Nothobranchius furzeri: one gene and its partner. The protein of the gene in region 2 purifies or fractionates together with the protein of the main gene of each other region. This does not show direct contact. Links are inferred from orthologs where the notes say so. Each region holds a gene or a part of one and is shown on either strand. Other genes may lie near its edges.

Region 1 (4,420 bases), on a different chromosome or scaffold from region 2:
CACCACCGAGGGCCTGTTGATCTACTCCCTAGACGGGTCTCTGGTCTTCGACCCATACGATCTGGATCTGGACGTGACGCCGACCAGCATCCGAAAACAGCTGCGCCTAAAGGAGTGGATGGCGGCCATTGTCCTGGCGTTCCGACTCAACGAGAACGCCCTGAAGCAGGAAGTTCTGGAAACGGTGCCGCACGATCAGAGTGAGTGGCTTTAAAAACCGTCGGCCAGGAGAGTTTGGACCTCTGACGCCTGACTGAGTTTGTGTTTCAGTCCCGGTGGTCTGTGGCTCTCTGCCCGACGTCTACGTGGAGAAGCTCCTGGGCTTCGTGGCCGATTGTCTGGAGAAGTCAGGTCACCTGCAGTTCTACATGACCTGGGCCCAGAACCTGCTGATGCTGCACGGACAGAAACTAAAGAACAGGTCGACACGGCTGCCTCGACTCGCATCATCATTATCATCATCAGTGTCTTAACTGGATCTCTTATGGTCCGCAGGTCTGGCTCGGTTCTGCCCACGCTGCAGGCGCTTCAGAAGAGCATCCAGAGACACTTTGACAACCTGTCAAAGCTGTACGTCTCAACACTGTTGCTCCATTAATCATCATAACTAAAATGAAGCATTAAGTCATTAAATATATATATTTATATATATTTTTTTTCCACAGCTGCAACTTCAACATGTACAACATCCGTTACGCTGTGGCGCTTTCAAAGCAGAAGTGTGTAAAGAGGCCTGCCGAGGAGGAGGAGAAAGAAGAGCAGGATGAAGGGTTGTCGGAGGAGATGAGCGAAGCCTCTTTAGATGACTCAGAGATGATCTTGTAGTCTGATTACTAAAAATGTCTCAGATTGACAGATGTTCAACTGTAAAAGTCCATTTTTCCATACTTTAAATATTAAAATAGCCTGTTTTTATAATAAATTCAGTAAAAGTGTCTTTCTTGTTTTTGGCTTTTTTCTGGTAAATTTATTCATTTGAGAGGCTGCTACGGGTTAATCTTTCAATTTGGCACGCAAAAAATATTTTTGGAGTTATTTCTTACTTATATTAGAAATTTACACTTAAAGACTGAATTGCCATTTGTGGTTAAAACTAGCTTTGCTGGGCAGTATTAAGTCAAAAGAAGTATTTCTAGAAATATAAAAGAACAAATCTAAAATATTATTTTTATTTAATACTAACAAAGGTAAATAGTACGACATTTTCAAGGAAAAAATACATTTTTACAGCTGAAGAATGTGGAAATATTGCCTTGAAATGTCCCAAGTTACTGTGTTAGACATTTAAATGTACAATTTAAGAGCAGAATGTATTCTTTTTAACAAATAGGTTGTTTAGGGAGTTAAAAAAAACACGGGATTTACTATTTTTAAACCGATCTGAATCCTGTCCAAAGTGAAATAAAGCAGAAAACTCAAAAAGTGGAAGCTTCTCCGTCAGTAACTAAACGTGACCAACAGGGGGTGACAGAGCGCCTTCTGAAAGTTCACCTTGCCTTAAATTAGATTGAAGAAGAAGGAACAGCGGGCGGGTTAGCCTTCGGAGCTAAAATGAGAGACAAGAGCCTGTCTGAAGCGGGAAAAGAATTACCGGCCAAAAAACAAAAACTAAGCAGTGACGAGAACAGCAACCCCGATTTGTCAGGAGACGAGAACGTAAGAGCTCTATAAACATTTCTGCAACTACAAGTGAACGTTTTAGCCGGTTAGCTCAGCGCTAAAGCAAGAAGCCGGAAAGCTAAAGAGCTTAGCTAGCTGGCATCTTTGTTCACCTGCAGCTGTGGTTCTGATGGTGGTAATGGCTCTAAATCAGTCTATGTGACCCACAGAAGCATGGGCTTTTATATTTAACCTCAAAAAGCCTGGCTTGTTCGATTTAGCTTCAGCAGGAGTGATTTAGAAGCTTGTATTTATTTACAAATTCCTAAAATAAGTGTTCAAATGCAGTTTATAATGTTTATTTTTCATTTTGAGGAAAGGAAAAACTTGCTGGTAGTCTGTTTTTCATGTTAAAAGTGCTTCAAACATTTGTTTCACTTATTTCTGTCCAAATAAAGCCTAGGTTTACTGGTACTTGTCCAATAAAATGAATGTGGTTAGGTTGGGTGTTTTGTTTTGGACATCTTGTCTTTCAGTAACCGCATCTCTGGTTTACAGGATGATGCGGTCAGTGTTGAAAGTGGGACCAACACTGAGCGTCCAGACACCCCCACCAACACCGCCAATGCCCCAGGCAGGAAGAGCTGGGGCAAGGGCAAGTGGAAGTCCAAGAAGTGCAGATATTCTTTTAAATGTGTTAACAGTTTAAGAGTGAGAATGTCTGCTGTTCTAAATACATTCAAATATCATCATTTACAGAATTTAGTTTACAGGTGAAGTGGGAGTGAAACTTTGTGGATATTTTTCAGGAGGACCATGGCCAGCCACTGTTTGGAGTCCAGTTTAACTGGCACAGTAAGGAAGGAGACCCACTGGTGTTCGCCACAGTCGGGAGTAACAGGGTAACCCCAAGCAGACAGATTTTATTTGGCTTTTTCTGGGTGTTTTCATGAATTTTTCTAGTTCAGAATCAATTTTCTGCTCATCAGTTCCATATCTTGCATGATAGAAAGATGGTGATGCCTTTCAAGCAATCAGACGTCCTTTTGTGTCTGATAAGCTGCTTCAAGTGTCCTTAATTTACTGTTACAGAAAATAAGAGATTTGACAAATTTTAAAGAATGATGATTATTCAGGACTTTTTTCATTAAAAATACACATTTCTTGTTGTGAAAAACATTTAGTTTTACATAAATGATATTTCTGATTTCTCTAACAGGTAACCTTGTATGAATGCCACTCTCAGGGAGAGATCCGACTGTTGCAGTCGTACGTTGATGCAGATGTATCCTTCCTGCTTTGGCTCAAACTAAACTTCACAAAAAGGAATCTGTTGTTCTTTAATTTAGATACAGATCAGTAAATGAAGATTTACAGATATGTTAACCCTTTAAGCGCCAAAGTCGCAGAATTGCGACAAGCAGCAATGTTGGATTTAATAAGCCACAGCAGCAGAAATGAGCCCTCATGCATGGGGAATGTGGTGGCGGTGATCGGGCCGTTGAAAACTCTGCTGGTGATCAATTCAGCCCCTGTCTATCAGCTATCCTCTATTATCTATCTATATCTATCATCTATCTAGCTATCATCTATCTAGCTATATAAATGTGTGTATAATAATAATGATTATGATGACAGTAAAAGATGTGTTCAGCAAAGGAGGTCAAGTTCACCTTATCCAGCTAACAGAGTTCAGATAAACATAACTTCACATGTTTTTGACGCATGACCAAAGCTTTCTTCCTGAGAGAGTGGGTGTGTCCTGTGAGTTTGGTAAAACTAACCATTATAGTAACCATGTGTGTGTGTGTGTGTGTGTATATATATATATAACAATTATAAACCAAATAAACTATAATTAAAGAAGGGATGAGTGAAATGTGTTCATGACACTGAAGCACCAAAAACAGTGTTCTTGATTGATACGCAGTAAACATAACAAAATACCAATAAAGTAATATGTGTATATATATGTATATATATATATATATATACACATACATAGTTATATACATATTCCTATGTACACATATATGTATCATAAACAATAACAACACTAAGAAAATAAGACAAACAAATCCGCAAATGTGATGCAATCCAATATGGCTGCTATCTGATGATGTCATAGTATGAAAATTGTGTGAGTGAATTTGTTCCTATCACAAAATTTGGCTCATACTGAAGATTTTTCTAATTTACAATATTCCTCTATCTCTAACCAGATTTAAGCTACAAGCTCTTTAAGTAGTGATATGAAAAACTTATATTTTACTGAAAAAACTATGGCGCCTAAAGGGTTAATCATCTTTTTCTCAACATCTATTTTGGAAAGACCCAAGAGTTGATCAGTAGCTGCAGAAATGTCAGAAACTTTTTGATTTCTGCGATTTTCTTGACTGAACGCGTTCCAAGGCAGATGAGAACTTCTACACGTGTGCTTGGACCTATGACACCAACACCAGCCACCCGCTGTTGGCTGTAGCCGGGTCCCGCGGCATCATTCGGGTCATCAATCACATCACAATGCAGTGCATCAAGGTAGTCTTCCTGTAGAGAACCTCTTTGAAAATGTGGCTTTGAGGGTCATTTAGTAGTGTGTTTGTTTCCCATCCAGCACTACGTGGGTCACGGGAACGCCATCAACGAGCTCAAGTTTCACCCAAGGGATCCGAATCTTCTCCTGTCTGTCAGCAAAGGTAAAGCCCCTGATGGTGATGGTCATCGACACGCCTCCAGATGCTCCTGGATCTTTTCCCTGACAGATTCAGTGTTTTTAGTAAAAGCTTACTTGTGTGAAAATGAATAAATGATGATTTGTAAC
Region 2 (4,592 bases):
ATAATCATGTCTATGGGAAACATGCCCACTTGCCCTAAAAGCAGTTTCCTGCTCCTCTGCCCTACTGGTTGAAAGTGGAACTACAACTGTCGTAAACAACCCTCCAGCAGCTCGCTGTAGCTAGCGCTAACAATCAGCTAACACTAACATCAGCCAACTGATACTAAAATAAGCCAGTAAGTAAAAAAAATCCAAACTGTCGGACAAAAATATTATTACTTACAAGTCCTGTAGCAACAAAGCCAGGTCACCATCAGTCCATGTTTTTGTTTAGCTCCCTTAAACGAGTGTAGGCTGCGCTGATGTTCACTCTGGTTTTAGCTCTTCTGCTTCGCCTTCACATACATTACTCACTTACTTTTACTTGAAAAGCAAACTTCTTATTGATGATCGGCAAACTGAGCGCCATGTGGGACACTTACCCGCTCCACAAAACTATCAAGGGCGATTTTTAGTCAGCAGGGGGCTGCAGTGGTGCCAAACATGAAACTGGTCAAGTTTCTAACTCAACAATCACTGAGACCAATGTTAAAGCTCAAGCTTAAAGTAAAAAAAAAAACAACTATCAATCGTTACTTTAAACCAGTGTTTCTCAATGCCTTTCCATCACGCCCCCCGGGGAACATATGCTCTGGATCAGAAGGTTCTGTTACCTTTCCAAGCTGTAACTGGTCCCAGTTGGCAGAGACAAAGGCCAGAATCTCATCCAACTCAAAGTATTTCTTCTTGCTGCTGACTGACAGGTTGTAAAGGACAATGTGGACCACATCGACCCACCTGAGGGACAGACGGCGGACATACTCTGACCCTTTGTTGCACACGGCACACAGGAACAGGTAAAACCTGAGAAAAACCAGACAACAGTCAGGATTTTCCACAGGAGGAATTGTGGACTGGATGAAGTTTCCGTCTCTGAACCTGTCTCCAAACATCATGGACTCCTGCAGACACTGAATACACGCCTCGTGGAACCACTGCTGACACTTAAAACACTGCATCATCTTCAGGTACCACCTGCACACAGAACAACATCAGCTGCCGGTTCAACACACCTGGACAGACTTGGTCCTGATTGGTCACACTTACTCTCCAGGACCACCACAGTAACAGTAACACTGCTGCTGATTGGTCCTATGCTGAGAGTCCCAGCTCAGAGAGGTCAGGTCGTAAGGCAGAACCTGCTTCATGGCCCAAAGAGCTTTGGCCAGCGCTCCTTTCTTCAGGGCACCGCCTTTCTGTGATGACACAGGAGGACCGGTCATGTGGGGTTACCAATCAGAGACAGGAAGGAAGGGCAGGAAGGAAAACCGGTACCCGCACAGCCAGAGCAAAAACACAGCGCCTGCAGAACCACGGTCTCAGGTCGCTGCTATCGCCCTCTACTGGAGGAACATGGCACTGCTGGTGGAAACCTGCCAGAGACACGGGTAAAACAGGTGAGGGGACACCATCTCCACACAGCCAGTCTCTGTCCAACCCACCAGACTCACCTATGCCACACTTTCCACAAATCAGAATTCCATTGGTGTGTTTTGATTGGTTCTCAGATTTTGGCTCCACTCCGTTGCACACGGAGCAGTGAGGCTCCTCCCCCGGTATCCCAGCTGTAATGTGATTGGACAGATTTTCATGCATCAGAAGGGAGCCTAAGTCTCCTCCCCTCCCGGTCGGCTCACGAGTCCCCAGAACAAAGAAAAAATGAACGTAAGTGAACGGGGCGATGAAAGCGATTAGGCTTTTCCTCAGAATCACGCGCATGTTGTAGTTCGACTCAAACGAAAGGTAATATTGTGTTTTGGACTATGCGACTTAGGCTCCCCATGTGTGGTTCTGGTCCAGTTGTGTTCAGGTTGAAAGCTCATCATCACATCTTCAGCTGGAGACACCATCTTGATGCCTAATGTAGTCTCCCTAACCCACGTCATGAATATTAATGAGGAAGACTCATAATCCATGTTTTCCGCTGACCCATTCTTCCGATAACCTATCAGGATAATCAGACTAACCGACTAGTTAAAGGGAAAGTGACTGGCTAGTTAGCTAACCGTCTCACCATGTTGGATGTCCTTCCACAGCACCCAGAACTTGGAGTTGTCCTCGAAGGTGACGAAGCAGCTCTGCCTGGGGGAGCTCACCTGTTCATCAGTCAGAACAGCATTTTGAGCTCTCGACCAGTCAGGTGATGCTACTGACAGTGTGATGTCAGGTGTGTCTGAAGCTGGACTCACCCTCTGTATCCTCCCCACATAGTACAGTCCATCTGACCAATGACAGAGCACGAACTGACCAATAGTCAGGCAAGACTCCGGCCCCTCAACATCCTCTGGGATTGGTCCACTAAGACATGCCCCGCCCCCTGGACACACCTGATGTTCCACACCAGAGAAGGCCTGGACCAGGTCCTCAAACATCCTGGGAAGGAGGGAGAGAGAGAGACCGTTGAGCAGAACAAGCAGACAAAAGGCGCGCGCACAGGAACTCTCGGTCGAACTCTGATTCATTCCTGAACTGTCAAGGGGGTTTCTGACATGTGTGAGCATGCGCAGTGCATCCCTCCACCACAGACCGTTAACTAACCTACTAACCACATAACCACCACACCCTGAGCTCGTTACCGACCAGAAACTACCGGCAAGACCCAGTTACAATAAAACGGGGTTAACACTGACGTTTTTTTTAATCACAGACACATAATGAAGCCGACTTGTCAAGAACCGGAGCCGGTTCTCCACTGAGCCGTCTCACCTCATCTGATGCGGGCTGTGTCCTCCTCTCCCGTTATCCGGCGCTCCGAACTGCACCGTTAGCCGCGGAGGGTCACAGGTCCTCCGGCGAGCCCCTTCTGCTCTGTCCCCCTGTCTCTTCTAGTCTGTCCCCGGTCTTCGTCCCTTCCTCCGTCTTTGTCTCTTGGTCTCTGTCCTCACCGCAGTCTCTGCCTTCACTTCAAACTCCCACAATCGCCATTTTTTCATTTTCCCGCGAATCGCAGGATGTTTGTAGATACGTGATGACGCCATATCCGAACCCCGTATAATCAGAATGTATGGCAAGCCGTTTTTACATTTATTAGGCACTCTCAGAAAGCACTAAGTCCTATTTGCTAGTAAAAATTTACAATATTCAGATATCCATAATAGTATTCTTACCATCCCTAACGACCGATTAAAGATGTAAAAGACTACATTGTTATTGTTGTATTTTAGACAGCATTATTTGGCTTAGTTTGACGTAGCAGCAAAACCTTTTACACTGAAAATCTTGTAGCGAGAAAAGACTGTAATTACATTAAAATATAAATATTTCATTTTGAATGTTTCACTTTATATTTTACTATTCTACTTGCAATGACACAACTGAGCACAGTGCAACATGTCTGACAGGCACAACTGAGTCTTGGCTTCAGCCTATTGCACTATCAAATACAAAGAATTTTTTACTTGTTGGTGTACAAAGTTTTTAAAAAGTGGAGTAGTCAGGTGACAAGACATCGCCTTGCAAGGCGGTTTTAAACACCCCCCGACTCCACAGACAAACTGGTACAGCGTGGATGGAGTTAGCGTGTTCTCCGCACCATTAGCTGGCTTTTTACTGAATATTATTCTGTTTTTGTTCATGAACTTGTGAGAAAATACTGAAACACTGTTAAAATGTCACAGCAAATGTCAGTTTTTTATTCATATCTAAAATCAGATTTAAGCAAGGAGACAAATGGAAGAGCAGCGGATCCTTTAATATTAAAACCTCCCTAATATGTAACCAAACATTAGTCATACAGAAACAAGTACCGCCTATAGAGACTGTGAACAGGAACCCATCCGCTGTTTACAGGTAGAAAAAATAGTTGTCACACTTTATTTAACAGGTGAGGACTGATATCAGGTCCTGGCTGGTTTGATGTCCAAGATCCTGGTTTAGGACTCAAGTTTTCTGGGTCGTATCTTCATCTCAGTGAACTGAAGAGAGTACTGCCAGCCGGTCCAACTGGACCACTCAACACCATCAGCGTAGGAGGCGTGGCCTCCTCTGAGGTACTGCCCGTTCAGGTTGGAAGTATGGCAGTTCCGATACCACCACGCCCCCTGATAGTACGCCGCACAGTTGTTCTCAGACTGGTCCTGGTCACGATCTTTGGTGGTGAATCGCATCCCCGAGTGTTTCAGGAGAGAGTCACCTGGAGGAGGCAGAGCATCGGTGTTAAAGCTGTACCAGGAATGTGTGGTAAAGGTAGTACTGTTCAGTACCTGCAGTCCCAGAGTACCCATCCACCAGCAGTGGGTAGCCATCCTCCTCTGGGTTCACAGAGTCTCGACCAACAGAAAAGTCTGAGTAATGAGCAAAAGCTGTGGCGTTGTCAAAGTCGGCCATGTCAATACGTAACTCGAAACCACCCGACCTGGTGAGTGAGTAGATCCTCTGTAGACCTGGGAAGGGGATGGGTCAGTGGGAAAGTTTCACACTGGTCGTGTTTCTAAAAACACACTGCAGAACACTTCTAAAACAAGGTCAAAATCTAAAACCCAAGAAACAGTCCAAAGAGTCCAAAAAACCCCAAAAGGAGTCTAAAAAGATGGGAATAAAAGCCAACGGCATTA

Evidence for each region.
Region 1: the proteins of phf19 (region 2) and eed purify together in Homo sapiens (affinity purification with mass spectrometry; 8 studies listed by BioGRID and IntAct, counting the BioPlex papers as one, with this or other methods). This does not show direct contact. The link is inferred for Nothobranchius furzeri from reciprocal best matches to the Homo sapiens genes PHF19 and EED.

The regions. Positions count from the first base shown.
Region 1 is NC_091743.1:86,053,301-86,057,720, forward strand, and holds the start of eed (polycomb protein eed), read left to right. Parts: upstream 1-1,482; 5' UTR 1,483-1,551; coding exon 1,552-1,656; intron 1,657-2,157; coding exon 2,158-2,310; intron 2,311-2,408; coding exon 2,409-2,501; intron 2,502-2,818; coding exon 2,819-2,884; intron 2,885-4,011; coding exon 4,012-4,137; intron 4,138-4,213; coding exon 4,214-4,295; intron 4,296-4,420. Other genes in the region: pwp2h (PWP2 small subunit processome component), read left to right, coding at 1-200, 271-421, 496-570, 666-825. UniProt on the Homo sapiens protein: Polycomb group (PcG) protein. Component of the PRC2/EED-EZH2 complex, which methylates 'Lys-9' and 'Lys-27' of histone H3, leading to transcriptional repression of the affected target gene.
Region 2 is NC_091750.1:35,547,069-35,551,660, forward strand, and holds the start of phf19 (PHD finger protein 19), read right to left. Parts: upstream 3,023-4,592; 5' UTR 2,751-3,022; coding exon 2,746-2,750; intron 2,413-2,745; coding exon 2,229-2,412; intron 2,136-2,228; coding exon 2,054-2,135; intron 1,605-2,053; coding exon 1,491-1,604; intron 1,413-1,490; coding exon 1,315-1,412; intron 1,236-1,314; coding exon 1,087-1,235; intron 1,015-1,086; coding exon 919-1,014; intron 844-918; coding exon 654-843; intron 1-653. Other genes in the region: fibrinogen C domain-containing protein 1, read right to left, coding at 3,912-4,171, 4,242-4,421.